2 linked regions of the Tamandua tetradactyla genome follow. The protein of the gene in region 1 interacts with the protein of each later gene in a biochemical or structural test. Links are inferred from orthologs where the notes say so. Each region holds a gene or a part of one and is shown on either strand. Other genes may lie near its edges. The genes, in order: MAP1LC3A and PHB2.

Region 1 (14,851 bases):
TGGGGCCTAATTTATTTGTTGGCAGATGTTAATTAGGTACCTAGTATGTGCCAGGAACTCTGCTAAGAGTGAAGAGACATGGCCCAATTTCCATAGAGCCACAGTCTATGGAAGAGGAAGAAAAGGAAATGGACAGTGATGGGCGGTGTGCTGTCGATGTGGCAAACATCATGCTGGCAGCTCAGAGAAAGGCTTCTGGGGGCAGCTTCTAAGTGGAATCCTGAAGAATGTGTAGGATCTAACTGGGCTGTCAGTAGTAAGACCAGGAGATGAGAGAGTAAGCAAGCAGTTGTGGAGTGTTGTTTGCTGCTGGTCATGCTGTTGGTGGGGGCATCCCACCTGATAGGGATGAGGCAGTCTGAGGACAATAGTGGCCAGAGTCACCTGGCCCTCATGTGCCTTGTTATGCTGAGGACCTGGGAGAGTCTTTGGTTTTAAGCTGAGGACAAATATAATCGGATTCATCCTCTGAAAACCTCATTTTTCCAGGAGGGGAAGATGTAAGGGGTGTGAGTCTGTACTTGAGAGCCAGGAGGAGGATGTCAAGCCTGGCAAAAGGCAGTGGTAGCTGATCAGAGGCCTCAATATCTCAACCCAGAAGGGTGGCTGTGAAGACTAAATTTGGAATTGGATGGAGAAACCTGTAGTGAATTGACAAGTGCTACGTAGATATTAACTGCTGTTATAGTGGCTTATCTTGCCTTGTGACCTTATCAACTCTGAGACAGGTCCAGTGATTTCACTGTTGATTTTGCACTATGATTAAGCTAGAAGGTAGAGCTCTAGTTTTCTACCTTATCCTTCCATGTAGTGTCCATTCAGGTTATGAGTTGGCAGGTGGTGCTACAACCCTGTCCAGTCCATAAGCCAGCTATCATCCTCCTCCTGCATCTAGCTTCCTAGATCCCCAGTCACCGCGGGCCAGTGCTGTCCTCTTTTATTGCTGACTGTGATGACCACATGAGTTCCTCCAGGGTGAGCTGGCTGTCAAGTGTCAGCATCTCCAATAGGAGCAAGAGGCCTAGGGAACCAGGAAGCTGCAGCCCAGAGGCCAGTATTGCCTGAGGCTGCTTTCCCAAGTTCCACAGCTTCAGGAGGCACTGAACTAATGACCTCCCACTGACTCGGATGTCTCTGATACTTATTTGCCTTCTCCCCTCTAAAAAGATCTGTCTTTCTTCTGGCTAAGTGACAAGTCTGTAAACTGGGGGGAACTGCCCTAAGAGGAGTGTTAGGAGGCTCCAGCATGGTCTGGCTTGCAGTAGGACTCTGAGTGTGGCCAGAACGTGAGCAGAGGCCCCAGGTGTGGCAGTGAATGCAGTGTTTGCAGGACTGTTGGGGGTGTAGGCGGAGTGGGGGAAAGGTGGAACATTGGAGGCTCTGAGCAGACAAATGAAGAGCTCAGTGTGTGTGTGTGTGTGTGTGTGTGTGTTTGTGTGTATGTATGTGTATACCTCAGCAGGTAGAGAGGATGGGACAGGCCTCCCAGGGAGAGCCGGTATGGCAGGGAGGAGAGGGGACTGAGTCAGGAAGTTTGGGAGGAGAAATTGACACACCTTGGTGATTGATGGGAGGAGAGAGGCAGAGGGACTTGGTGGCATTCTGTGAGAGCAGGTTCAAAGAATGGGCTATTCTTTAGTCCCTGAAGGGCAGAAAGCAGATATATTCCAAGGCAGATATATTCCACATTGGCAAGGACTAAGTGAAGAAACAAAGCTTAGGGAAGTGGAAGTGACTTAACACAGGGTCTGACAGCACCACTTACTCATGCCATTTCCAGTGCCCCTTACCAACCTCCCCCTACCTAGAATGGGCAAAGGGGCTCTGGGTCTGCAGCTACTATGTTGGCGGAATCCTAGGGTCTGTGGGAAATCCTTTTTCCTCACAGCCAAAATGAAAAGTCCCAAAGTCAGTAGAGGTGGTCTCAGCCAGCCCGTGACCAGTTCAAGGTTTCTCACTGAAAAAGCTTCCCTGTGAGCTGGTTTGGTGTCCAGGGAGATGCCCCTCTCTGGGGCCAGGGGTCCCTCAGGGGTGTTGACCTGTTCCGGATAGCCCAAGCAGGTACCCGGGGCTCCGCCCCCTGCCTTTGGCACTTTATTATGACAATTTTTAAACACAGAAGAGTTGAAAAATTTTACATTGAGCACCTATATACTTATCACCTAGATTCTGTCATTAACATTTTACTAGACTTGTTTGATTATAACTCCATCTACTATATTTTTTAATGTATTTCAAATTAAATTGTAGATATTAGGACAGTGCCTGCTAAATATTATACGTATAATGTGTCTTATTAACTAGAGTTCAGTATTTCTTTCCATTTTCTTATGTAAAAGTTACATGCAGTGAAAATCACAAATCTTAACATTTGCTGAAGCCTTCTTTCATTCAAACTGTTCTTGAGGTCCATGATGTTGCATATAACAATAGTTCAATGCTTTCTTTTTAGTGAACTTCTGGAATAGCTTTACATTAACAGGTAAATTTCAAAGATAGGATTCCTACATGCCCACCCCCAGTTCCCTCATTGTTAACCTCTTACATTGCCATGGTATGCTGCTCAAAACTAAGAAACTGTTTTTGGTGTATGACTTATTAACTAAATTTCCAGATTTGATTTAGATTTCAACAGTTTTTCCACTAATTTCCTCTTTCTGTTCCAATATCCAATCCAAGGTACCACATTATATTAGTCATCCCATCTCCCCAGATGCCTCTGCTCTGGGACCATCTCTTTATTTTTTATAACCTTGACAGTCTTGAGGACTGCTAGCCATGAATCCTCTAGAAAGTCCCCCAACTGGGGATGTCTGTCTCTTTTCTCATGATTAGACTGGGGTTATGGGTCTCTAGAAAGAAGACCGCACAGTCATCTCAGGGATCCATGCTAGCTACTTGGTATCTCCATTGAGGTAAACCTCCTTCATCCCTTGGTTAAGGTGGTAGGTGCCAGGTTTCTTCACTGTAAAGTCACGTGCCCCACTCTATTCTGTGGCAGTGAGTCACTATGTCTAGCCTAGCCCACTGTCTGGGGTGGAGGATAGCAAGAATTAAGCTTTACTTTCTGGAGGGAAAAGTATATTATTTGGAATTCTTCTGTAAGGAAGATTTATTTCTTCTCTCCATGTATCTATTTACTCAGTTGCTTATTGGCTGAATGTTTTTATTTGAATTTTTATTTTATCAAGGTAACACATGGACATTTACAATACATTTACAAAGTTAAGGTTCAAAAGAAAAAAGAATAGCTCCCTAAGATTTTATCATTATTTCTTCTGGTATTTGTATTTCTTAATTATTTTCTCATTTTGTATTAGACTGAATCATATAAAATTTGCAATATCCAAACATTCATTATTTGCAGAAATGGCAATTTCATATGGTCCAACCTAATACATATTTTGACTTCTGGCTTTTTTTTAATGACATTGGACTTTTGTGTGGCATCAGAGTTGGCTCATTTTCTTTTCTTGCAATTTGTGACTATAGGACCTACCCCTCATCTGACCTGGTTCAGGGGTCAGTCCCACAACCTCAGGCACTGCTTCAGGCTCCTCTGTGCTGGGTGAGAAAGGGGTCAGCCTGTGGTGTGATAACTGTCTCTCCAGGGGACTTCTTGGGCTCTGTCTGCTCTAAGGAGACATTTGGCAGAGTTCTGCTGATTGGGCCCCAGGCCTTGCAGAGTCCATGGCCACGTGGAGTAACTGAACTAGTGCAGCTCTCTAGTTGTGGTTTTAGGCCAGCTGTTGAACCCTTTGAGCCTCTGTTTCATCTCTTCTGTTAAATGGGCATGATCAGTAGCCTTCCAGACAGTCTCCTGTGGTGGTAGAATGGCAGGTACTTGTCTTGAGGCCTCGTGTTGTTGGTGATGGGCATATCTCCCTAAAGTCCTTTTCCATGCCCCTCCATATTCTTTCTGTCCATAGTATGTTCAGCTACTTTCATAAACTTCAAGTGAGTAAAAGAAGTTTCCCAGAGCAAGCTCTGACTCACTCTAAGATCCTAGCTAAGGGCCTCAGTCTCTGAGCCATGAGGTGGTTGGTGCTGATATCAGAGCTGCCACAAGGTACTTGAGATCTGTTGGTTGTCTACAGTAGCAAGCTGCTCTCTTGTCTTCATTGGGACTGGGCCCCTCCCTGTCCTGTTCCAGGCGCTAGAGAGCTTCAATTTCTTGGGATGGTTGGGACCAAAGGACTTCAAGCCTAGTGTACAAGTGACCTTGGAAAATCCCTTTCTCTTTGGGCCTCAGTGAGGAGAATAGTGGGCTGAGCTTCCAAGGCCCTTTTGACTGTGGCCTAGAATTGGAAAGGCAAACCGAGCTGGGTACAGATACTCTGGTGAGCAGAACCACTCAGGGACCCTGCCCTGTGGCCCTCCCAGTCCAGTGGAGGGGAGACACAGTTGTCAAGCAGTCAAAGATGGAGATCAAAGTATAACTTGGATGAGTCTGTGCTAGCAAATAGTGGTTAATGGGACCCAGACCTAAACTGGGGGTAAGGTAGAACTGCTCTGAGAAAATGATCCTTCCTGAAACAAGCAGGCATTGCCTTGATGGAAGAGAAGAGCAAAGAAAAGAGCAAGGATCCTGGCATGGGAGGAAAGAGGCTAGTATAACAGGAGCAGAGGGAGGAGGAACACCAGGGGTGGGGAGGCACACACACAGCAGGGGTAAAGCCCTGGAGGTCCAGGGAGTTTGATCTTTACCCTGGGAGCCATGGGAAGCCTTTGGAGGATTTTAACCTGGGAAACACTCATTCCCTGGTTGCCAGGGATAAGGGACTGTAGGAAGAGGTTTGAGAACAGGGAGCCCAGGGACTAGGCTTTGCTCTTGCTTAAAGATGACAGTATCTTTGTCCAAGGTGGTAGCTATGGACTTAACAGAAATAGGTAGATCTCAGAGTTTAGGGAGTACTCTTGACAGGACTTGGTATCATACTGGCTGTGGGGAGTTCTTGCAGGGGAGCAGCGTTGGGTGAGTCTGTGGCCTGGGCTTCAGGATGGAAGATGGGGGTATGGGCACCTGGTGGGAAAAGTAGGGACGTTTGATGTGGGTTCAGCTGGGATGGAGGTGGTTGTGGGGCACCCTAGAGTTGAGGTTAAGGGGCTGCTGGATACAGATGCACCAGCCTGGCATGCAGAGATCAGGGTTTGGGATGGAGATGGATAACCTAATGGGAGAAGCACGTACAGTGTTGGCAACTTCTGAGGTGCCAGCAAGACCTTGCAAGGTCAAATGTGGATCCTGAGGTTGGGAGTTCACTGGGCAGGCTGCTGATCTAGGGTTGGGCAGGGGCTTTCTTGTCTCCCCAGCACCTTAGGAACTTAGGATTCAGGGGGAGATACCAACAAGTTCTTACACCTTCTCTCTTCCTTCAGATCCTGCTCATCTCTGATTATTTCTACGCCTTCCTGCGGCGGGAATACTACCTCACACATGGTCTCTACTTGACCACCAAGGACGGCACGGAGGCCATGCTTGTGCTTAAGTAGGCCTGGCTGGGCACAGGGCTGTATGGACTTCAGGGAGTAGAAGGGCAGGAGCAAGACCAAGCCCTCAGGCAGGTGGGATTTGAATCCAGGGTCACAGGTTCCTGGTATCGGAGGGGGATCATGTCTGGCAACCAGGCCTGTGCGGAAGAACCAGGAGAATTCCACTTGGACCCCTACTTTGTGGCTTCACCCACCATTGTGCCCCCACCCAGGCAGGAAAGGGGGAAGAAGTAGGTAGGAAAGGCCTGGTAGGTTGTGGCTACTCAATAAATGCTTTTTTTTTCTTTTTGTTAAGATGATGTCTGTCCTGGGACCACAGTCCCTACTGGAAGAGGTGGGCTGGCCACAGTTATTGCCCTGGTATACTATACTGATTTATGAGTGTCCATAATAAACCCTAAGGCCACAGAATACAAGTGTGAGTCCTGGCAGGCTGAGCATGGTACAGGACATTCCCATCAACCTTCCCTACCCCCTAAGCAAGCAGCCGGAGGCAGAGGGCCAGGCAGGCCTGAGCAATCTTTATTCTGCAGAGGGACAGTGACCACAGATCCATATACCATGCCAAGGTCGGGAGAACCAGGGGCCAGTCCTGCAGGGGTGGGCAGATCCAGGCAGGGGGCAGCACCTTGGGTAGCTGAAGGGCAAATGGGCAGACAGGCAGGGGCCTAAAAAACAAAAAGAAACAAAAAAATAGACAAACCACACAGCAGGGGTGCTGGAGCCAGCACTGAAGAGGGAACCCTAAAGGGACTGGTGCAGGATCCACGCAGGGGCAGAGTTAGGTGACTGCCCCCCCCCCCCCCCCCCCCCCCCGCAACTGGGGTCCACATCCCTGCCCAGCCCACCAGAGGCAGCTTAGTTCAGGAGTGGCAGACCCTGACTGGTTCCCACTCCCAGGCCAGCCCCCCCCACCCCCTGCTGCTGGCTCAGAAGCCGAAGGTTTCTTGGGAGGCGTAGACCATGTAGAGAAAGCCATCCTCATCTTTCTCCTGCTCATAGATGTCTGCGATGGGCGTGGACACGCTCACCATGCTGTGCTGGTTTACCAGTAGGAAGAAGGCCTGCGTAGGGTTCAGCTGCAGGCGGCGCCTGAGGCAGGAAGGTGAATGTGAGGGGCATGCAGGTAGTCCCTGGCCCCTTCCCCAGAATCGCTCGCAGCCTCTTCTAAGAGGTTCTCTCATGAGGCAGCACTGACCCCTAGACCTTGACCTTCCCCAGCCTCCCAGAACAGGGGTCCCACTTTTGCCTCTTCGAGAGGGAATTTGGGCTTCTGTTTAACCCCAGCCAGACCCAGGTTCCCCTCCCGGGCAGTTGCCCGCGCACCGGATGATCTTGACTAGCTCGCTCATGTTGACATGGTCGGGGACCAGGAACTTTGTCTTGTCCAGGACGGGCAGCTGCTTCTCACCCTTGTAGCGTTCTATGATCACCTGCGAGTAGGGTGGGCAGGAGAGTGGGAACATGTGAGCCTGAGGGCCAAAGGCGGGCCAGGGACGGGGTAGGAAGGGGGCAGGGGTACTCACTGGGATCTTGCTAGGGTGCTGATCGCGTATCTGCTGCACCTCCTTACAGCGGTCCGCTGCAGAAGAAGAGCAGGACTTGAGGCGGGGCAGAGGTGCTGCCGGCGGCTCCGCCCTTGAGGGGCGGCCCCACCTCACCAGCCAAAGCCCCCACTCCCCGGGGCTATTGAGCCCTGCAGCCCTTGGCACCAGATGGGGTGGGGAAGCAGGGAGACCCCCTGCCCAAGCCGGACCCTGCCCGTGGGGCCAGCTGGAACCTGATGTCACAGGGCTGACGTCACCAGCGGCAGGCCAGGGCAGTCCGCGTCCCCTACCCCTGCGCCCCCCATCCCACGCTTACAAATCACCAGCCCGACCTCACCGAAGCTCCGCCGCTGCTTGAAAGGCCGGTCGGAGGGCATCGCGCGGGCCTGGCGGGGCGCGCAGGCCAAGGCTCTGGGCGCGCGGTGCGGGGATGTGAGTGCGGCTTAGGGGCGCCGCGCCTCACGCTGAAGGGCTCTCGGGCTCGCGCTGAACCCAGCGGCGGAGGCTTAGGGAGGTAACTCGCTCGGTGACGTCAGGTCACAACATTCCTTAAAGGGGAGGCCGGCGAGCTGCTCCCATTGGGCCGACGCAAAACCCGCCCGTTCCGTCTCGTGGCGTCACGGCGCAGAGAGCCTGGATTCCCGGCACAGAGACGCGGCGTGGGGGTGGGGGCGAGGGCGCGCTCCCATGGTGCGTCACAGGCACGACGTCATGGCGTGCGCGGGCATTTACCCAAGGCCCTTTTCGGAGACCGAAAGAAGGGGAGATGGTGGTGGGTACTTGACCCACCTTGGGCTGTGACGTTCTGGAAGGTTGAGAGAGCGCGCGGGTTCACCGAGTCATTCGACCAACGTGTACTAGGGTCTCGCCTGTTAGGGAACTGCTGGATGCTAGGGATGACATCAAGGAACCCAAGTCCTCACCTTCGTGGTCTTAATGGTTAGAGGAAAGCAGAGGGGGGGAGGGACATTAAAGCATACGGAAAGTACAAGACACCAAAAAGACTCTAAAGGACATTCTAGAATTGAAAAATAGTCAGTGGAAGGGGTAAGAAAGGTTAGAGCAGAAGAGAAAGTCGCCAAACTGGAAATACATCAGAAGCAATTACATGAAGAAACAGGTAGAAAATAAGAAGTGACATGAGTGATAGAGTGATAAAGACTCACAGATCCAATCAGAATAAGGAGACAAGACAATGTGAGAAGTGCCGGTAGAGCTCCCGAAATTCAGGATCATCACAGAAAATCCAAAGCAGGATAAATAAAAATAAAATCAGTAGCTAAGCACTTTGCAGTAAACCTGCAGAACTCTAAAGATGAACTCTTAAAAACTATTAAAAAGGCTAGATTACCTGAAAAATAAAACTAGACTGACACACTTCTCAGCAGCATTTATAGAAGCCAGAAGAAAATGTAATAGTATCTTCAAACTGCTGAGTGCAAAAATACTATCAGCCAGTAGTTAATTCATGATTAAAAGGTCAGGGACAAAATAATGTTGAGAGCGTTTACAGAAAACACTATTGCTAAAATAAACTGTAAAGGATGTACTTCAGTTACAAGACCATGTAATTCAAGAGGAAGAAATTAGTTGGGGGGGGAAAAATGGTGAGCAAATAAACTGGTGAATGTGTAGGTAGATCTAAAACACATAATATTGAACAGTAATGGCAATAATTGGCTTGGGGGTACCAAAACAAGCTGTATGAGACACAGCAGCATGTAAGACAGAGTATAATTAGAGTTACACTTGCCTGGCTTTGTGAAGTCACGTATGTATTTTAAACAATTAATAATAGTGACTAAAGAATAGAAGGGGAATGTATTATTGACAATGCAGAAAAGAGAAAAAGGGTAGTAAAGGGTACCTAAAATTATAATAGACAAAGAAAACAAATGAAAAAAAGTAAAAAGGGATGGTAAATTAAAAGCCCAAAACCACAGGTAGAAATGTCTTAAATTCACCTTTTTTTTTTTTTTTTTAAAAAAAAGATCAATTTGGCCAAGACAAATAAAATTCTATTCTGTGCTGTTTCAAGAAGGCCCTTAAAGACACCACAACTAAAAAGATGTACAGAGAAAAACTAACCAGAAGATGTAGTCATAGCAAAATCAGACAAAATAGACTTTAAGGCAAAAAAGCAGTATTAGGGATAAAAGAGGGTCACCACAAAACAATGAGCAGAACAGTTCTCTAAGAAGAGAATTCTGAACTTATATATTCCTGGTTAAAATATATATGAAGCAAAAGTGACAGAACAACAAGGAGAAATTGGTAAAATCCTTCCTCATACTGGAAGGTATTCAACAGACCTCTCTCAATAACTGATAAACAAAGCAACCAAAACAGGATTTTAACACAATAATCCTGCTCGGTGGACCTCCGTAGAATCCTGAAGCCAACAAGTTACTTTCAAACATACATGGAGGAAAAAAACATACATGGAACATCTACAAAAAATAACCCAACCTCTAGGCACCAATGTAAAAAAAAAAAAAAGACAGCAAATTTCATACAGACCATATTTTATGACCACAGAGAAGAGCCAAGAAAGCCCCAAATGTTGGAAATTTAAATATGCTTGTAACCCTTTAAAAATGAAATCATATAAAAATTTAAAATATTTAGAACCAACAAAAAATGAGGCTACATATAAAAACTTGGGGGGGGGCTAAAGCAGCACGTAGGAGGTAAGCAATAAGCCTAAGGAATTTAGAAAATGAGCACTTTTAAGGACATTTTAAAAGGAGCAACAGTATAAACTCAATATAAACTCAAAGTGGAAGGGATATCATACTAAAGAGTAGAAATTAATGAATGAAAAATATATACTAGTATGGATCAATGCATCAAATCTGGGTCTTTTAAAAGACCAATAAAACAGTGTGCAAAGAGGCCCAAGTCAGCAGAAATTACAAAAATACCATAAACAACTTTATGCCAATAATTTAAACCTTAGATTAAATGGGCAATTTCCTAGAAAAATATAGTTTGTCAAAACTAAATGAGATCTGAACTTCTTGGAATTAAGGACACTACAATGTCCAGCACATAGTAGAAGCTGAATGGAAATTTCATACCAATGAAAAATTTAATTTAAATAAAGTATGAGTTCATATATATGTATGTGGATGTGGATCTGCATATGTATGTGCGTATGGGTTATCCAAAATAAATGGAAAGAGACTCCCACTATTTTATTTGCTTTTTAAGGAAATCATATCTCTAGAAAGGTAGAGGGCTTCAAGACTCGTGAGTAGGAAATTATACGTATTTATATATACATAAAAATTTTGTGGCTTTTCAATTAGACAAGAAAAAGAAATACAAGGCATCAAAATTGGAAAGGAAGAAGTAAAACTATCACTGTTTGCAGATGATATGATACTATACATCAAAAGCCCTGAAAAATCCACAGCAAAACTACTAGAGCTAATAAATGAGTACAGCAAAGTAGCAGGTTGCAAGATCAACATTCAAAAATCTGTAGTGTTTCTATACACTAGCAATGAACAAGCTGAGGGGGAAATCAAGAAACGAATTCCATTTACAATTGCAACTAAAAGATAAAATACCTAGGAATAAATTTAACTAAAGAGACAAGAGACCTATACAAAGAAAACTACAAAAAAAACTGTTAAAAGAAATCACAGAAGACCTAAATAGATGGAAGGGCATACCATGTTCATGGATAGGAAGACTAAATATAGTTAAGATGTCAATCCTACCTAAATTGATTTACAGATTCAATGCAATACCAATCAAAATCCCAACAACTTATTTTTCAGAAATAGAAAAACCAATAAGCAAATTTATCTGGAAGGGCAGGATGCCCCAAATTGCTAAAAGTATCCTGAGGAAAAAAAATGAAGCTGGAGGTCTCACGCTGCCTGACTTTAAGGCATATTATGAAGCCACAGTGGTCAAAACAGCATGGTATTGGCATAAAGATAGATATATCGACCAATGGAATCGAATAGAGTGCTCAGATATAGACCCTCTCATCTATGGACATTTCATTTGATCTTTGATAAGGCAGTCAAGCCAACTCACCTGGGACAGAACAGTCTCTTCAATAAATGGTGCCTAGAGAACTGGATATCCATATGCAAAAGAATGAAAGAGGACCCATTTCTCACACCCTATACAAAAGTTAACTCAAAATGGATCAAAGATCTAAACATTAGGTCTAAGACCATAAAACAGTTAGAGGAAAATGTAGGGAGATATCTTATGAATCTTACAATTGGAGGCAGTTTTATGGACCTTAAACCTAAAGCAAGCGCACTGAAAAAAGAAACAAATAAATGGGAGCTCCTCAAAATTAAACACTTTTGTGCATCAAAGAACTTCATCAAGAAAGTAGAAAGACAGCCTACACAATGGGAGACAATATTTGGAAATGACGTATCAGATAAAGTTCTAGTATCCAAAATTTATAAAGAGATTGTTCAACTCAACAACAAAAAGACAGCCAACCCAATTACAAAATGGGAAAAAGACTTGAACAGACACCTACCAGAAGAGGAAATACAAATGGCCAAAAAGCACATGAAGAGATGCTCAATGTCCCTGGCCATTAGAGAAATGCAAATCAAAACCACAATGAGATATCATCTCACACCCACCAGAATGGCCATTATCAACAAAACAGAAAATGACAAGTGCTGGAGAGGATGCGGAGAAAGAGGCACACTTATCCACTGTTGGTGGAAATGTCAAATGGTGCAACCGCTGTGGAAGGCAGTTTGGTGGTTCCTCAAAAAGCTGAATATAGAATTGCCATACGACCCAGCAATACCATTGCTAGGTATCTACTCAGAGGACTTAAGGGCAAATACATAAATGGACATTTGCACACCAATGTTTATAGCAGCATTATTTACAATTGCAAAGAGGTGGAAACAGCCAAAATGTCCATCAACAGACGAATGGCTAAACAAACTGTGGTATATACATACGATGGAATATTATGCAGCTTTAAGACAGAATAAACTTATGAAGCATGTAATAACATGGATGGACCTAGAGAACATTATGCTGAGTGAGACTAGCCAAAAACTAAAGGACAAATACTGTATGGTCCCACTGATGTGAACCAACATTAGAGAATAAACTTGGAATATTTCATTGGTAACAGAGACCATCAGGAGATAGAAATAGGGTAAGAAAATGGGTAACTGGAGCTGAAGGGATATAGACTGTGCAACAAGACTGGATACAAGAACTCAGAAATGGACAGCACAGTACTACCTAATTGTAATGTAATTATGTTAAAACACTGAATGAAGCTGCATCTGAGGTATAGTTTTTTTATTTTTTATTTTTTTAATTTTTTTCTCTCTATTATCACTTTATTTCTTTTTCTGTTGTCTTTCTATTCCTTTTTCTAAATCGATGCAAATGTACTAAGAAATGATGAATATGCATCTATGTGATGATATTAAGAATTACTGATTGTATATGTAGAATGGAATGATTCCTAAATGTTGTGTTAGTTAATTTTTTTATTAATAAAAAAAAATTCTGTGAAAAAAAAAAAAACTAAATGAGAGACTGAGAGGTTGTCCTATGCCAGATAAACCCTGAAGCTTAGACGTACCAGCCTCTCCCAGAACGTCAATCAGTTGCATCCCCCTACCGCATAATGTCAACACCCCTTTTCAACATGAAGAAGATAGAATGGTCATTGTCCAAATATCCCTGAAGATTCAGAGAATGATCAAGTTAAAGGGAGGAGTTGTAACAGAGAAATTAGAATTTAATAAGGATTCTGACTACTGAATCATTACATAGATATATTTCTTTTTAGTTTGTAGTGTATTAGAACAGCCAGGGTGGTGTGACAAGGCTCAGTGGCAGAATTCTCGCCTGCATGCCAGAGATCCAGGTTCAGTTCCCGGTGACCCAGTGCCTATCTATATAACAACTATATTAAAATGTTAATCACAGATCTAGCTGGTGAATATATGGCTATCCATTGTATGATTCTTTCCATTTTTCTCTATGTTGGAAAAGTTTCACCATAAGATATTGGGGGAAAAAGATAAAAAAAAAAAAAAAAAAGACTATCCAAAATATATGAGGAACTTTTACAACTCAACAACAAAAAGACAAACAGCCCAATTAAAAAGTGGGCTAAGGACTTGTATAGACATTTCTCCAAAGACAATATACAAATGACCAATAATCAGCAATCTCTATAACCATCAACGTCTGTTGGTGGTTAAGTTCATGTGTCAACTTGACTAGGTTATGGTGTCCAGTTGTTTGGTCAAGCAAGCACTGGCCTGATTCTTACTGTGAGAGTATTCCGTGAATTTCAGTCAGTCAGTTGATTCATGTATGGCTGAGTACATCTGCAGTCAACAAAGACGACTGCCTTCAACAATGAGAGAAATCTCATCCAATCAGTTGAAGGCCTTACAGAGAGAACTGATCATGCCATTGGTTGGGAGAATTTCTATCTACTTCAGCCGGCCAACTTCTAGGGAATTCATCAAAGCCTTCATTGGTGTTCCCAACTTGCAGCCTCCCTACAGAATTCAGAGTTGCTAATTCCCACTGTCATGTGAGTCCATTCCTATAATAAATATTAGCATTTACATATACATATGTGCATAAATCATTTTCCCATCAGTTATATTTCTCTGTAGAACCCTAATACATAACCTTCAGGGAAATGCAAGTCAAAACCACAATGTGCTGTTTCATATCCACCAGGCTGGCTATTTGAAAAAAAAAAAAAAAAAAAACCCAATAGTGTTGGTGAGATGTGGAGAAATAGGAGCACACATGCATCATTAGTGAAGAATGTAAGATGGTGCAGCTGCTGTGAAAAGCAATTTGGCAGTTCCTCAGAAAGTTAAACATAGTATTACCATATGACCCAGCAATCCCACTTCCATGTATATACACCAAAGAATTGAAAGCAGGCACACCGATATTCATAGCAGCATTACTCACAATAGCCAAAAGATGTAAACAACCCATGTCCATTAACAGATAAATGGATAAACAAAATGTGGTATATCCATACAATGAAATATTATTCTGCTATAAAAAGGAATGAAACTCTGCTACATGCTACAACATGGAATAACTTTGAAGATCTCATATTGAGTGGAAGAAACTGGACACAAAAGAGCAAATACTGTATGATCGCTCATGAAGTAGAATATGTAAATTCATAGTTAGAAATTCCAATAAAAGTTACCAGGAGCAGAGGTGGGGCTGTGGGTTGAGAAGTTCCTGTTTAATTGCTACAGTTTTGTTTGGTGTGATGGAAATTTTAGTAATGGATGGTGTTGGTAATAGCACAAGTAATTTGAATGTAATCAATACCACTGAATTCTATATTTGAAGATGATTAAAATGGAAAACTGTTGAATGGTATCACAATAAAATAAAATTTGAAAAAAAATTATACAATACAAAGAGTGAACCCTAATGTGAAGTATGGACTATATCTTTATTAGAGTTAATCATAACATTGGTTATTAATTATAGCAAATGTACTACACTGAAAGAAAATGTTAATGGGGAAACTACATCTAGGGGTTGTATATGGGAACTCTGTACTTTCTATGTAAATTTCTGTAAACCTCAGAAATAAAAAGTAATAGCTTGAAGTGCAAGCAAAGGATTCAGTCAGGTTACCAGGTAACCCTGCCACCTGCTCCCTTCAGGCTGACCTTTCTTCCTACCCACATTTCTTCTCCACATTTTTGCCTTCTGAGCCTCTCTGGATTCATTTAATTTGCATGCGTACAGTGTGTGCGTTGCGCTAGGACATCCTGCAACCCAGACTC
Region 2 (15,794 bases), on another chromosome or scaffold:
GAAGGGGTACAAAGCCCCGCCTGCTCCACTTTTTCTACCTTGGAACTGTAACAGATAAAATCACTTCTGTTTGTTGAGTTTTTCACTGCTAGTATTCCCGGCTGCTTTCTTTCAGACACAGTTCTTTGTACTTCCCATTGCTGAAATAATCAGGGCTCTCTCCTTTAGAGCACAGTAATCTAAGAAATTTGGAGCAAAAGCCTGCCTTCAAAGCCTGGACTAAATTGTGAACACTAGTCTCACATATTTTCCTGAAGTCTAAGAGGAACTAACAGTTTGCACCATTAGACACTGCTAAGCGTAGGAACCTCCAAAGAACAGCCAGGTTTGCAAGAATCATATTTATAAGATAAACAAATAGCAAATTTACAGCCTTGGCTTCCCCAAGTCTCAATGCAGGATGGTCATCTCCCAGAAGCTGGTTCAGAACAGGCTCTGAAGAGTCAAGGGACATAATGCCAATAGTCTCTGTATTCAGAACAAGGTTCTACTACTGTCAAATGACCCCCCATATTTCTTCAAAGGCTGTGGTAAGTTTTGCACAGGTGAGGGCAGCAGAAAGGGGGTAGTTGCTGATGGACACCATCTTCTCTGTATACTCCACATTGACCTAAAAAAAGAACAGTTTTGTCAACCGACTAGCACTCAACAGAAATAGGTAACAGGCTTAGCCCTTCTCCTTAAGAACCAGAAAAATATGGTTGGGCTGATACTTCAGCAGTGCTATTTAAAACCCAAGTTGTACAAAAGATGAAGAAGGCTGTTACCAACGTTCTAGAAGTCCTCAAAGGATATCCCTGGGGCAGGATGTGGAACCCTCCTTTGTCTCTAGCACTTTTCCAACCCTTGGTTCCCCAACATGTAAGGACAAGGATAGTCAAAATGCTAACTGCTCTCTGAATTCTATACTAAGCTTCAAACAAGCTACAAACAAGCACTGCCACTAAAAGGAGGGGCAGGGTAGAACTAGTTCCCTTGGGATCTAAGGACTGAGCCCAGACCTTACCTGGCCATGAGCAAAGGCCCCCACTACAAAAACAACAGGGTCATTGCTTGGCACCAACTCTCGCACATCACTGACATCAGGCATGGAAAAAGAAGTGCCAATTTTCATACATCCAACTGGAAAGTGATCTGACACTGGATTCTTAATTACCTAAAGAAAAAGAAAAGTGAATCCCAGAAACATCCTCAAAAACTTATTTGCAACCTGTAGGTTTCAATACCTCACCTTCAAGAGTTTCTGGGGGCCATCAGCTGCTCGAACACTGAGTTTATGTAAAAGCTGAACTGAAGGGGAAGGAAAAAAAAAGAGAATTCAGAGACAGGTGCAGACCCCACTTCATCTGTCCAGTAATCTAACAGAAAAATCCACAGAGAAAGTAGGCTTAGTGTGTCCTCTGCATCCAGACTGCACTCCAAAACTTTAAGAACAAGCAGTTGTCAAACATATGATGACTAGTACAGCCAATGAGTTCAGACTTTCCCTTTTGCACTCTCCATGCAGGAGAGTAATACCTGCATGCACATGAAAAGGTAAGAGGAGACCTTCTACTGATAACAAGCATGTTGCTTTCCCCCAGCTTAACACTTCCATATTTAATTTTTCCCTTTACCTATTCCTCCCTTCTTCACTACTGCTAAATTTTAAGTCCTAAGGATTCTCACCCATGAGGCCACAAAAGCGGTCAAAGGTTCTGGGAATTCGAGTCTGGGGGTTCACTTCAATCAGCACATTCTTCTGAGTGTGAATGTAAACCTGTAGCAAGCCGGCTCGGTTCAGGGGACTGTCCATCAGCATCAGCAAACTCTGAGGGAGGCAAAAACCACGACTGATGAGTTAAAGCTAGTGAGAAGCGACATGCAGCTGCTTTACCTCATACAAAGGTCCAAGGGGTCATGAGTGCTGTTCCTGAAGTTACCTGGTGGGCTATATCTGGTCTTACTTCCCCAGGGTCCCGTCCATTCTTCAACAGCATAGACTTATGTTTGTCACAGTTGAGTAACTCATATGTCTTCCCTACCTGAAGAACAGTGAAAATGAGGAGAGAGCAACATTAACTTCTATTACTTTGTCCAGTGGTCCCTGAACCAGCTTCATAGTCATCATCTGAGAACTTGTTTGAAAGGCAAATTCTCAGGGCCATACCAGACCTACTAAATCAGAAACCATGGGAGCAAGGCCCAGCAAGTCATTCAGGGATCACTGTGTGGTCGCATTTACGCCCGAGTAAATTATTTTAGAGGAAAAGGGAAGATGGGTATAAATGGTGATTTCACATGATCTAAATTGTATTTAAAAACCTGTGATTACTAGGCAAGGCCAATGAGGGATTCTGGAACCGGGTAGGAGTTAGGTTAGTGAGCAAAGGTAAATGCCTAGGTTTATCACAGGGGGCAATAATGAGTATACTGGGTAAATAGTACCCTCCGTTTGCTTATATAAAACAAACACTTGTTTGTTCTAAGTGAGGAGCTGCAAATCTGAACAGGAGGCAATTTAATGACATCTCTAAAATAAAAGAAGAGGGGTTATTCCCAGTTTTAAGACTGATATAAGCAAAGGTATGGATGGGGTCAAGAAAAACGTGCATAAAAGAAAAGACTGAAAAAGTAGGAACTTTTGTGCTAAAGGGCACTAATCAAATGTGATTACATATGAAAGTGCTTTGTGAACCACAGAATTTGAGAAGCAGAAGGATGGGAAATGAATTTTTTTTTATCATTTCTCAAAATATATCACTCCAGAAAAAAATATATAAAGAAATACCTTACCCCTCACCCCTCCCTCTCATTGACCACTAGTACTTCCCTCTACCCAATTTATTTTAACATTTGTTCCCCCTATTACTTATTTTTAATCCACATTTTTTACTTATCTGTCCATATAGTAGATAAAAGGAGCATCAGACACAAGGTTTTCACAATCACACAGTCACTTTGCAAAAGCTATATCATATAATTTAAAGCCACATTTGCCTATTAAAGAAATAGTATTTTTATGTACAATCACTGACTCAACAAGAACTTAAAGAGCACCTACTATGTGCCATAACTGTACGAGGTAATGGTGATACAAGAAAGAATTTTTTTTTTTAATTTCATTCTCTGCCCTCACAGAGGCTTAAATGGAAGAGGCAAAAGTAAACAATCACATGAATATTTAACTCAAATTGTGATAAGCATTATAAAGGAAAAGAAAACTTAAAGGATAAGAACAGAAGGAACTGATTTATACCAGGGATGAGAGGAGTCACTTCTCTGAGGTAGCAGTTAACCTTAATTGAATAGATAGCATAATAAATATTCAATTAAGTATTGAATGAACAAATAAGTAGATATTAGGCAAAGAGCTGGGTAAGGGGCGCTTCCAGTTAAAGAACAACATGTGCAATGGCCTTAGGTTATAAGAGAACTTAGTGCTTCCAAAGAACTTTTAAAAAACCAATGAGTACGTACTAGGGTAGTTCAGTGGTAGAATTCTCACCTGCCACGTGTGGGAGACCTGGATTCTATTCCTGGCCCATGCACTTCCCCACCCCCATCCCCTAAAAATTCAACAAATAGTGCTGCAATAACGGGATAGTCACATGAAAGAAATGTGACCCCCACCATCCAACATACTCATTTACAAAAAAAGGCCAATGAGACTGAGTATAAGTATACAGGAAAAAATGGAAAGAGCAGACCCAGATGAGGCTGGGAGAAGCAGGAGGTGAAAGAACGAGGAAGGAAAAAGGCAACAGCACAGTCCTGTAAAAATTTCAACTAGCTATGAATTCTTGAAGCAGCACTAATGACAACCTGACCAAAATTCTTTCAGAACATGACCGAGGGATTTTAATTTGCCCATAACCTGTCAACTTCTTAGTAAGGAACCTGGAATAAAAAATATTTAATTCTTAGTATGACCAAGTGCCAGATATTATTTTAAGCTTTACACATAATAACTTCTTTAATCCTCACGGCAACCCTAAGAAGTTAAGTGATTTGCCAAAGGTCACACAACTAGTGAGCCGTAGAGAACTGATCTGAACCCAGTCTAGTCTAGTGGAAATGCGGCATTCTCAAGCCCTGTGTGTGCTGCCACAGAAGGCATGCTTTCCACAATTGTAAATTACACAATTATGAAGGATAACTGACATGACAAGTGTCAAAATCAACATTCAGAGTTAACAGGCCGAAAAGATAGCAAACAATGGAGTGAGTGATGAATATAAGAGCTTATATTGAGGCTGGAAATATCAATTACAAAAGAGAATGAGAGACTTGATAAGTTAATCATTTAAACAGCAGGTTTTCCAGATAGAAAGCTTAATAAAATGCCATAATTGCCAGGGAAGGATAGAAAATATCACACCTTAGATAACTAAAAATATACTACTTTTAAAGCACTTCCATCACATGTGGCTGTAGCTCATAAATAAGGCATTAACCCCATTTTACGAAGAAACAATTTCTTAAGAGCAAACACTTTAAAAAGTGTTAGAAACAAGATTAAAACCCATCTCTGACTTCTAAACCAGTGCTATTTCTTCTGGACCTATTCACTGAAAAAGTTCAACTGCAAAGTCTGCAAGAAAAAAGAGTCAAGGGAATAAGAAATGTACAGTTTTTAAGAGAGGAAATTGCTGGACTTGCTACACTTGGAAAAAGAAACAAATGATTTATATATTCTGGATATTAAACCCTTATGCAATATTTTCTCCCATTCAAAGAAAAAAAACAAATGATACGTGAAATTTTGTTGTAACGGTATTAAAAGATAATCTGGGCCAAGCAGTGTTTCGCCGTAGATATTAATATAGAGGCACTTTTAACAAATTAAAACATTAAGTCCATACAAATAAAAGTATGCAAGAGTTCCACAAGAGTAAAGTAACTACCTTTTTCGTCTGCCCAGCAATTTGTCTTGGGATATGGAACAACGGAATTCCCCTCCCCTAAATGACTTTATATCACAGAACCCCAGTAAAACAACTGGAAGTAAGGAGGTGTGAGCTTTAATGGAATTCTAGGGGGCAAAAAAAAAAAAGACTACTGCCAACCCATTATGTTAGTACAAAGGACAGCAACTAGACCACCCTTTCCCCCAAAAAATGTTTCACCCCACTCTGCTCTCTCCAAGCACGCTGAGCCCCTCACCCTCAACTCTGGGAATCCCATCCTATCGACGTGCCCCAAGCTACCTTGACTGTCTCCAGACTGGCTCCTTCCAGCACCACAATGAGCCTACGGCCTCCGATCTTGCTTCCCAACCCAAGGCGAGGCTTCTTGGGCGCCGCAGCATCCCAGTCTTGTTCTTGCTCCCCACCGCGACGCTGGCGAGCTTGGAAACCACCACTGGGCGCAGCCATCTTGTAACCGGGCGGAAATTACGCTAAATCTATTTCTCAGAACCTCGTGCGGTATCGGACCTCGCCCTAACTGCAAACTTCCTTCCGGCTTCCATTTTGGAAGTGGGCGCTTCGAAATGGCGATTGTTTGCTTTCTAGCGTTACCGAAGCCGCCCAGGGAGGGCAACGTTCCAGGAGAAGGCGGGAACTTCCGTTTGTCCGGAATCCTATGCGCGAAGTTCGGGTCCGCCACTGGGCAAGGGGAGGGTTTAGAAGGGAGTGCACTTCCGGTGCCCTTTCTCCCGCGAGCTCTGCAGTCCACAGACCCTCGTGTGAAGGGTACAGTTTTAAAGTGGGGCGGGGTACAAGTGGGCCGGCACCTCCGTCTACCCGCTGGTGCCGCCGGCTTCGCGAGCCGACATGGCCCAGAACTTGAAGGACTTAGCGGGCCGCCTGCCCGCCGGGCCCCGGGGTATGGGCACAGCACTGAAGCTGCTGCTGGGGGCCGGTGCGGTGGCTTACGGCGTCCGCGAGTCGGTGTTCACTGGTGAGCTTTCTCCGCCCCCTCGCTGAGTCCGACCCGTTCCCTTCCCTAGCTCCCGAAAACTCCTAACCCCTCCCTACCCAGACCTCCTACCCTGTTCCGCTGGGTCTCCGCGCTCACCTAGCCCCCTCACCCTCACCCTCACCCCACCCCACCAGAACCTACCACGTATACTGAACTGCTGTCTGGCTTGATGGCCACCCCTCTCCCCACAGTGGAAGGCGGGCACAGAGCCATCTTTTTTAATCGAATCGGCGGCGTGCAGCAAGACACCATCCTGGCCGAGGGCCTTCACTTCAGGTAAGGGCAGGCAAAGGCCGACTGGCCCTAGCTCTTCACCCCGACGTCGACTTCCAGTGGATATAGTAGGATTTGCAACAGAACTCAGCGCTGCACTTTGCTCACCTCACCCCTGCCCCCAGGACAGCGGGTGCTGCCTAAAACTTCAACAGCACATAAACTGTTGTTCCGCAAAGGGAGAAGAGAATCTCTCCAGGTCCGTGGCCGATAAGGGGAGGAGGTGGTCAAGAGACATGTGGTAAGGGAAGCCAGTCAAAGCTAATGAGACACAGGCGTCTGATACTTGTTCTCTTCTGATCCTTGTTCTCTCCACGCCAGGATCCCCTGGTTCCAGTACCCCATCATCTATGATATTCGGGCCAGACCCCGAAAAATCTCTTCCCCCACAGGCTCCAAAGGTAGGTCTGGGCTCTTGGAAGTCATGTGGCCAACGGGATACCCAAAGTAAACTAGGGAGCCTGGAAAGAGACCCTAAGAGAAATATGGTAGCATCTAGTCTCTCAGGCTTTGGTTTCCATATCTGCAAAAGAGGGATCATAAAAGTTACCTAACCTCCTGGGGTTAAAGCCAATGTAAACACCTACCACAGTGTTTTATGCCTGTCCTTCCCCCTCTCTCCCAGTATACTTCAGTGAGGGCTAGGATTTTGTCTTAATCAGTGCCTAGGTCAAAGCCGTTTTAGTCTTCTAACCACTTGACTTATTAATTATACCCAGTAGAATGCCCTTTTTTCTGGTTTAAGTCTTTTGTCTTTCTTCAGTGCTGAACTTGTTCCAGATTTCAGGCTATACCCAAAAGTTGTGCCTTTGAGAGTCCCCAAACTCTTCCTCATCCTCACCCCTCACTCTCATACTCTCATACACACTGAAACATGTAGCTCACCACTAACCTGTGATGTATTTATTTGTACATTTTTAGCACATGTCATTTATTCATTCTTTAAACCCTGGGCAATGGGGATTAAAGATTCACAAACACACTCCTTGTCCCATGAGGACAAGGAATATAGTCCAGTAAAGGAAATAGAATATTGTGCTACAGCATGATAAAGTCTATGATAGAGGTTACAAAAAGTACAGTGCAAAAATCGGGGTCAGCTTTACCAGTGAAGGGGGTATGGATAAAGAAAACGTCACAGTTGATGAAGATGCATTTGTCCTGAGCCTTGTTAAATTGTTCTTATCAACTCCCCTAGGGGAGTTCCAATCTGTACAGCACTGTAATAGGCAAAGAGGGAACCAAATGGAGGAGAAAATTCTTGGGGCACCGTGTTTGGTTACGGGTCCACATGAGGCCCCATGACCTTGACCAACCACGGCTGACTTCTCTATCAGACCTGCAGATGGTGAATATCTCCCTGCGAGTGCTATCTCGACCCAACGCCCTGGAGCTTCCCAGCATGTACCAGCGTCTTGGGCTAGACTATGAGGAGCGAGTATTGCCATCCATTGTCAATGAAGTGCTCAAGAGTGTGGTGGCCAAGTTCAATGCTTCACAGCTGATCACCCAGCGGGCCCAGGTCTGACTGTCCGTAATGTGTCACAGTTCCCTCCTAAGCCCAGTGCGTTGGGACCAGATGTCAGGGAAGGCAGCTTATTAGAAAAGGGTTGTGAGCCTTGTTTCATTTTCACCTAAAGGCTGTTCTCATGGCTGCTGTGGGAAACAAAGAGAGGTAAGCCTGAAAGTCTAGGGTTGGAAGACTAGGAGATAACACAAAATCTACGTTTTTCCTACACTCCTTTTGGCAAAGAAGCTTATAATTACAGGTTTGTCCAACAGAAAGTTGAGTGACTCTTGGTGTCTTGTAGAGAGCACAGAATTAGGAGTCAGTTCAGTCATAGTATCCCTATGAACCTGTCTCACCTATCTAATGAAACCTGGACCAAGTCCTTTCCAACTTATATCTTCTAGTGAGGAAATAAAAAAGGGTCAGTGAGTTTCCTGACATTTTCAGGAGATATGAAGATGGTCACAGCAACACACATTCCTTTCCTAGTTCTCCAATATTCAAATTCCCCCCTTTCCCCTCATCTGTGCCCCCAGGTGTCCCTCTTGATCCGACGGGAGCTGACAGAGCGGGCCAAAGACTTTAGCCTCATCCTGGATGATGTAGCCATCACAGAGCTGAGCTTTAGCCGAGAGTACACGGCTGCTGTAGAAGCCAAACAAGTGGGTGAGTTACAAGGGCAAAGCAGGAGGAGGGATGGCTCTGTGGCTCCATGTATAGAATTCCTGACACCCAACATCTGACTTCTGGCTCCTACCACAGCCCAGCAGGAGGCCCAGCGGGCCCAGTTCTTGGTAGAAAAGGCAAAGCAGGAACAGCGGCAGAAGATCGTGCAGGCCGAGGGTGAGGCTGAGGCTGCCAAAATGATATCCTACTCAGAGATGTCAACCTAGCCCCTGGAACTCCTGCTTTCCCCATCTGCCCTCACAGGCTGGCTGATGACACTAAGGCGAATGTGACTTCATGCTCTCTGACCTTGGTTCCTTAGGGGTTGGGGGTTAGGGATGGGGTCTGAGATCTTAGTGGGGGTATCTGAGACTTAGCTCCCCACTGTAAGGCCAGATCAATAGCACTATTGGCCTTGACCTCCATTTCTGCTGCTGTCCTCAGTTCCCGGCAGCTGCCTGCAGAGGGGCCTACAGTAGGAACCAAAGTAGGGACAGGCACGAGCTATCTGAACACAACCTTGGATCTGACAGCCTAGAGGTGAGGGGTAGTGAGGATTTGGGCCAGAGATTGAGACCTGACCTTATATGAACCCTTAACTCGGCCCTGCTCACCTTGGAGAAGCATTGAGCAAGAACCCAGGCTACATCAAATTGCGCAAGATCCGGGCAGCCCAGAACATCTCCAAGACGGTGAGTCTGAGTGCTCAGCATATCTCACGGGACTGCTTGGCCATAAAATTGTTTTCAGTTGAAGCACATTGAAGCAAGCAAAATTTGAATCTTGCTTGTTCGAGTTTCTGCTCAAACTGGCTTCTCTGACCCTTCTTTCCGTCAAAAATGATTGCTCTGGGCTCCCTTGCCACTTGTGCTTATGCCTTGTTTAGGGAACTGGCAAGTCGTAATTGAACAGCTCACTGCCCTGGATCCTTGAATGAGGGCAGAAACCATGCCTACTCCTATGAGGAATGATTATTGAATATCGAGGGTAGGAATCAAAGTCCTCTTTGCTTAATGCAAGCATCTGACTCTCTGTCTCCCCTATAGATCGCCACATCACAGAACCGTATCTATCTCACTGCCGACAACCTTGTGCTGAACCTACAGGATGAAAGTTTCACCCGGTGAGAGACATGACCCACAATGGGGTGCCACAGAGAAGTTGGGATTTGAATCTGGTCACTTGGATTCTAGAGCCTGCTCTGCTATCAGCTGCTTGTGTAACCCTCAAAAGACACTACTTACGAATCAAAATTTTTTCAGAAAAGGGGTAGTTGACAATTTCTGCCTTGCATCTCATGAGATTGATTTGTATCAAAAAACGCCGTAATTGTAAAGGTTTGTCCAATTGAAAAATAGCTCTCACTTGGGAGCTCTCACCTTGCTGCTCTGGAATATGGAAGGATGTTAAGAAAGGAAAGATGAGTAGCAGAAAGAACCATCTCTTTCATGAGCCTGAGATTTCTGGTTTCCAACATTTTGTCTTTTTTTCTCAAGTGGTCAGGAAGGTTTAGAGCTGGGTGAGGGTAGAGGAGGGAGGGGCCTGAAGCTGTCAAATCACATGTGCATTTCTCTTCTCTTTCTGTGTTTCCTCTTTATCTGGTGATCTGGACTCCACAGGGGAAGGTAAGTTGGTGTATCCATGTTTCTGTGGGGCCTACGCCCCATCTTTTCCAGGTCCCTGCCTCCCTCTTCCCCATCCCACTAGCCATTTCTCACCCTCTCCACACCCCCGTCCCCACATACACACCCTCAGTCGGGGGGGGGGGGGGGGGGCAGTTAAAGGAGTGGCCTGGGATTCTCTGTCTCTCACATGTAAGTCCCCTAATAAGACTATAAATCTGGCCCTTTGTTTCCACAGTGACAGCCTCATCAAGGGTAAGAAATGAGCCTGGTGACCAAGAATTCTACCCCAAGAGAGGACATGGATCTGCTTCTACCCTGGTTTTCAAGGAGCTAGTTAGGAGTCTCGTGCCCCATCTCCAGTATCATGTGATGGCCCCCTATGCACTAGTCCTCCCACCCCTCTTGGATTAACCAAGACTGACCCTTTATGAGGGGAGTGGCTTTCCTCCTCCCTGTGTGGCCAGGGGTGTTGGGGACAGTGTGTGGTTTTTCCATCATTTCCTACAGTGTTGGGAGGAGATAACCGTCATCCCAGGAATTCTCAATAAATTTTTATTACTAAAGCCTAAATCAAGATCTCACGTGTCTGAGCTGCTACCCACACATGTGCACACGTTTCTGGGTGTTTCTTCGTACCTGCCAGCAGAGGGCGCAACAAATCTTGCCAAGGCAGTTAGGGAAGACCAAGCCTGGGCCCTGCTGCTCTGCCCTCCCAGTCCAGCGGAGTGGGAACTGCGGACCTCGGGCCCTGAGGCCCAGCTGCACTCCACCCACCTCTCATTTCTATCACTTCACCCTGTTTACATATCAACATCTCTTTTTTTTGAGGTTGGAGCAGCTGTGGCTTTGCTGAGCCAGACCAAAAAAATTGATGATCCCAATGAGAGCTGCTTCCTTGGTAACAGTTCCTGTAGCTATGGGAGAGACTTAAGTGTTCAAAGCCCAGTGGATCATATTGCCTGCTGGGCTACCTGTGCTTCCAGTTTCTTAGTCACCTGTCAGGAGCTCTGTGTGTAACAGGCCTCTACCTGTGGAGGTGGGCTTGTCACTCCCACAGAACAGGTATCGGTGTTTCGTCTTTAGATGAGCATCTCCATATCCTCCTCGAGGCACCCCACAACGAACCTCAAGCACCAGAAAAAAATGAAGTCCCCACTTTTATCTTCAGTTCCCATTTCCCTCATCCTTATGAAGAGACAAGGAATATTTGGAACTATAAAACAAAAATATGTAGAGAGAAAATGCACAGTTGGGGAGGGTTGGAGGGGCTAGGTTAGTCTTCAGCCTCTTAGGGTTTGAAGAAAGTAGATTAATTAACTTTCCCCTACTCTGGCAGCTCCCACTCCCAGCAGCTGAGCTGGAAGCCCTAAAATGAAAGCAACAATTAGACAAAAGACACGTCAAGTGAGCCGGTTTGATCTCTCACCAGTCCCTATTCACACTTTATTTCTTTCACATTCCCAAGGCAGAAAGAGATGGAGGTGCCTAGGGGACAGTATCATTTCCAAATAATGCTATGGCTCTAGAGGCAGCCATTTTGTTTCCTCCCATTGTTCCCTCTTTCCTAGTGATTCACCCCCATCCGGAGGGGTAAAGGTCAGAGGTTGTTGGTCAGGAGGCCTCCACGGGTCTTCAGGGTGCCCTGAAGGTCATTGTCGAGGGAGCCAGCCCGGGGGCCATCTTTACCAGACAGTGTTAGGAGCTTCACTATTAGACCATCCAACACTGTACTGGAAGATGGACCCAGAGTCGGCCAACGTGGAAATCCGGGCTAGAACTGACCAGTCGCCATAGGGACCCTGGCCGCAGGCTAGGTGAGGCCTCGAGAGAGTGCACAAGCCAACTGCAAGCTCCAGGTCCGCTGGGGGTTCTGGATCCACCAGATGACAAATCAAACTCCACTGGGGGAAGGCCTTGGGCCATTGTGTTCCTCCAGCGGGCAGCTGGCCAATGGTGCTACCTCTTCTGCAGCACCCTCTGCTCAAGATAAAGAGGCCTCCAGGTTTTGTGGGGAGGGGAGGAGAAGACAGCGCAGCCGGCTGGGGGCCTGAAGGCCTGAGGCGATGGGTGCCGTTGACATGGGGCAAGGGCCTCCATCATTACCCGGCAGTATTAGAGACTCCCAACCAGCACCCAAACACTGCTGGGTAAGACGGGGTCCCCCACCCAGCCTGCCCACCTCCAGGCCAGGAAGCCCCAGGCCCAGAGTCCCTGCGGAGAGGCTGCAGAAGCCTAGCTCCCCTCCCCCATCAAGCGCGTCCCTGGGGACACTTCCGGGTGAGCCCTGCTGCCCGCCCCACCCTGGGGAGCTGATCGGCTGAGGTCCAGAAGGGACTTCAGCAGCCCCCACACATCAGCTCTCTGCCTTGGAGCCCCTTACCCCGCCACCCCTACTGCGATCTATCCCTGCCCCCAACACACACTGATTCACCCGCCCCATCCTGCCTTTGCAGACCGTAGCACAGCCCCTGGACCCTTCTCCCGGTGGCTTTTACCTGTCACTGGCCCACCTGCACCCCAGAGGGTGGGTGCTGAGGAGAGAAAGGGGAGTCAAGGCCCAGGATTCTACGGCCTAGAAGCCGCCCTGGCCTCCGCTCTTCCTCCTTCCTTCTCTGCCTGCCAGGCAGCCCTGGGTTCCTCACCTGGGCTCCGCCCGCTGCCCTGCCTGCCGCCCTACGCACAGGTGTGTCCTCCTGCCATAGGCTGCCCCCCCCACCGCCACCGCCTTAACCCCTTCCCTCCCAGCACCAGCCACAGGCACCTCTCTGAGGCCTGACTTACCCCACTAGGCCTCCCGCCCTTCCCCGTGGACTCTTCTCGCCTACTGGCCTCCTCGGCCCCCACCCAGGGTGTAAGGGGCAATCTTTGGGGCCCCCTACCTGTCTCCCCAGCCTTTCCCCACAACTGCTCCTGCCCCAAGAGGCAGCCCGGTCCCTGAGGACTCAGACCTCCACCCACAGCCAGAACTACAATCTGAGGTCAGCTCAGACCCCTGTCCCCGCCCCACGCCCCACGTCTGAGCATCGCCTGAGGGAAGGCAGCGGAGACGGTGGGGGGGAACGAAGGCACCTCCAGGCCTGTGGAGGGCAGGCAGGTCCCCAGGAAAGCGCGTCTTCCTCCTCTACCGTGTGGGGGTGCTTGCCCCTGCTGGGATCTGTGGTCTCCCCTTCCCAGAACCACGACCAGGCCTGACCTGACCGGGAGCATCAGCACTGACCCTTCCAAATCACCTTCACGCTTTCAGTGCCTCTCCTCCAGCCCCTCCAGCCAGGGGGAGGGATGACCCAGCTCTGTTTTCTGTAGGGACCCAGGTTCCCTAACCCACCTGGCCTCTCTCCCTCCCTCTGGGGAGTCCAAGTCCCAGCCCAGGGCCCCAGGGCGGGTAGAGGGGGTGGGACCTCGCTTTCCCTTTGTGCAGCTGGGGCTGGGATCCAAGGGCGTTGCCTCGGGAGAGGGGCCCCAAGGCCCACAGGTGAGCGCTCCACCCACCCACCCCCTGGAGGGCCAGTGCGCCCTTGAGCTATTGTGTTGTCTCTCTGCTCTTTGTTTCTGTCCTGATACCCGCCCGCCCGCCCAATCTGTCTTTATTTCAAGTGTTCCTGGACTGTTTCTGGGTCTGTCTCCCTCCAGTCTCCTAAGTGAAGGGAGGGGAGGAGCTGCCTTGCTCGCCATGGCGTCTCCAGCCCAATCCAGTGCCCATAACCCAGTGGACTCCATGGAGCATTTGCTGAATGAATGAAATCAAGCCTCTGTCCCTTCCTCCCCACTTCTGAGACTTCCCAGGAGGGAACCAGTCCTTGCTGAGCTGTGACTGACTCAGATCTAACTCCCCCAGGACATTAGCATCAAGGCAAAAAAAGCAATCGCTGGTGGTCCACCCCTCCACTCTGGACACAGTGGAGGGAGGTGGAAACAGTAAACTACCCTGCTCTCCCACCCCCAAAAAACTGTCTTTGGGCAGCCAGCCAAGCAACCTGGGGCGCAAGTAGGAGTGCCAGGAAGGAGCTGCCACAGGAGCCTCGGGGCAGTTGGGCCCAGGTGAGGGGAGCCCGGGGCTGGCCTTGGGGCTGTGCTACCGGCCCTCATTCCTCTCAGTCCTTGGATCTGGGCATCGTCCTCGGGGGCTGTGGTTGTATAACCACTGGCAAGACCCAGCTATAGGGGTGGGGGCCCTGGGACCAGACTGCCCGGGTTAAAACCTCAGCTTCCCTGCTCCATAGTCCTGTGACTTCGAGCAAGATATTGGAGCTCTCTGTGCCTCCGTTTTCCCCACTGTAAAATGGGAATGATAAAGATAGCTGGATTGAATGAACATGTCTCTAAAACAGTGCCTGGCACACGGCAGGCACATAATAAATTTGCTATCATCATCCCTCTTAGCTTTATGGTCTCTACAACCACCCAGTGAGGGGAGCAAGGCTTTGGCAATCACCCCTATGTAACTGGCCCTAGCTAATTCAGCAAAGTCCAGAACCAGGGCTGCTGGAAGACCCAGCTTTTAGACATCCACACACACCTCTTCCCTACCCCCTACCCACACCCCGGTGCCCAACACTGCAGGCTGAGGCCCATTTCTGCCCCCTCCTGCCCAGGTACACAGAGTTAGAGGCACACGCAGTGACCCTAGGGGCTTTATTTACAAGAGAGAAGGGCTTGGCCCTGTCTGGGCCTTGCTGGGTTATATACAGTGTCAGGGAGAGGGAGTGGAGACATGTCCATTTAAATTACAATAGAACAGGGACAGGGGTCCTAGGTTCAGACTGGGGGTCCGTCGGCTGGAGGCCTGCAGGGGTCAGGGCTGAGGCTGCAGAGAGAAGGGCAAACAGGAGTAAGGAGGGTGGTCAGACCTGGGGAAAGCAGCAAGAGCAGGGCTGGGAGCAGCTGGAGAGGCCAGGGGAGGCTGTAGCCACCCAACCCCCGACACAGGGCTGAGCACCGGGGCCAGGGGACACAGGGGCAGGCAGGGAGGCGTGGTTCTGAGCAGAGGGCACCATTACCACGGCCTCCTCGGGAGGGTGCCCAGCTCACTTCCTCTTGAGGGATCCCTTGCTCTTCTCCTTGTCTGCTGACCTCTGCTTCTTTACCTTTTCCTCCTTCTTGTTCTTACTCTGCAGGTTCTCGTACACTTCCTCCTTGTGTCTGCGGATGGGTGGGCAGGGTAGGCAGTTGGCTCGCGTCAGGAAACACAGCACTCTCTGGGACCACCCCATCTCACAGATGAGCACACTGAGGCCAGGAATGCAGAATGACCCAGTCGCTGTCCCAATGCTAGATCAGTAGCTCCCTGAAGCAGAGGCTGCACCCCATCCGTCAGCACACAGCCAGTACCCAGCACTGCCCACACGCAGCGGGCACTCAGGAAACACTTGTGGACAGAAGTAGCAAACCAGGCTTGAGCTTGAACCCACGCCTCCCCAACTCTAGCACTTTGGAAGCCCAGGCTGGAGAGGGGAGAGACGCAGGGGCTGGGGGGGGCCAACAGGCAGGCAGGGGCCACTCACTTGGAGGAGGTGCGGGCGGCCTTGGCATGGGCGTTCTTCATGGCGGGGGGGTAGGTGATGTTCCCGTACTCTGACTCCTGGCCCTTCTGGGACTGTGGGCAGAGGAGTGGGGGGAGGGGGGTGGTCCCAGCCTGGCCAGGTGAGGCCCACTCCCCCCGCTAGCCCCACCCAGCCCTGCCTTCCTGCACACACCTGCATGACCTCCAGCTTCTTCTTGGTGGTTTCAATGAACTGGGCGATGGCCACGTAGATGAACTTATACTGTGCCTCCGTCTGCACCATGCCCGAGCGCTGGGCCCGCACCATCTGGATGGT

What was found.
Region 2: the proteins of MAP1LC3A (region 1) and PHB2 form a complex in vitro, tested with the Homo sapiens proteins (2 studies listed by BioGRID). The link is inferred for Tamandua tetradactyla from reciprocal best matches to the Homo sapiens genes MAP1LC3A and PHB2.

What each region holds. Positions count from the first base shown.
Region 1 is NC_135327.1:18,187,594-18,202,444, forward strand, and holds MAP1LC3A (microtubule-associated protein 1 light chain 3 alpha), read right to left. Parts: upstream 7,738-14,851; 5' UTR 7,418-7,737; coding exon 7,378-7,417; intron 7,076-7,377; coding exon 7,020-7,075; intron 6,927-7,019; coding exon 6,820-6,926; intron 6,586-6,819; coding exon 6,423-6,585; 3' UTR 6,409-6,422; intron 6,162-6,408; 3' UTR 5,994-6,161; downstream 1-5,993. Other genes in the region: GPI-anchor transamidase component PIGU, read left to right, coding at 5,380-5,452. UniProt on the Homo sapiens protein: Ubiquitin-like modifier involved in formation of autophagosomal vacuoles (autophagosomes). While LC3s are involved in elongation of the phagophore membrane, the GABARAP/GATE-16 subfamily is essential for a later stage in autophagosome maturation.
Region 2 is NC_135333.1:69,259,041-69,274,834, reverse strand, and holds PHB2 (prohibitin-2), read left to right. Parts: upstream 1-5,545; 5' UTR 5,546-5,756; coding exon 5,757-5,883; intron 5,884-6,095; coding exon 6,096-6,180; intron 6,181-6,498; coding exon 6,499-6,578; intron 6,579-7,514; coding exon 7,515-7,699; intron 7,700-8,223; coding exon 8,224-8,353; intron 8,354-8,449; coding exon 8,450-8,553; intron 8,554-8,618; exon of another isoform or gene 8,619-8,885; intron 8,886-8,967; coding exon 8,968-9,045; intron 9,046-9,399; coding exon 9,400-9,480; 3' UTR 9,481-10,548; downstream 10,549-15,794. Other genes in the region: EMG1 (ribosomal RNA small subunit methyltransferase NEP1), read right to left, coding at 497-610, 1,007-1,156, 1,232-1,290, 1,669-1,810, 1,923-2,024, 5,190-5,357; PTPN6 (tyrosine-protein phosphatase non-receptor type 6), read right to left, coding at 14,734-14,782, 15,007-15,117, 15,480-15,571, 15,672-15,794.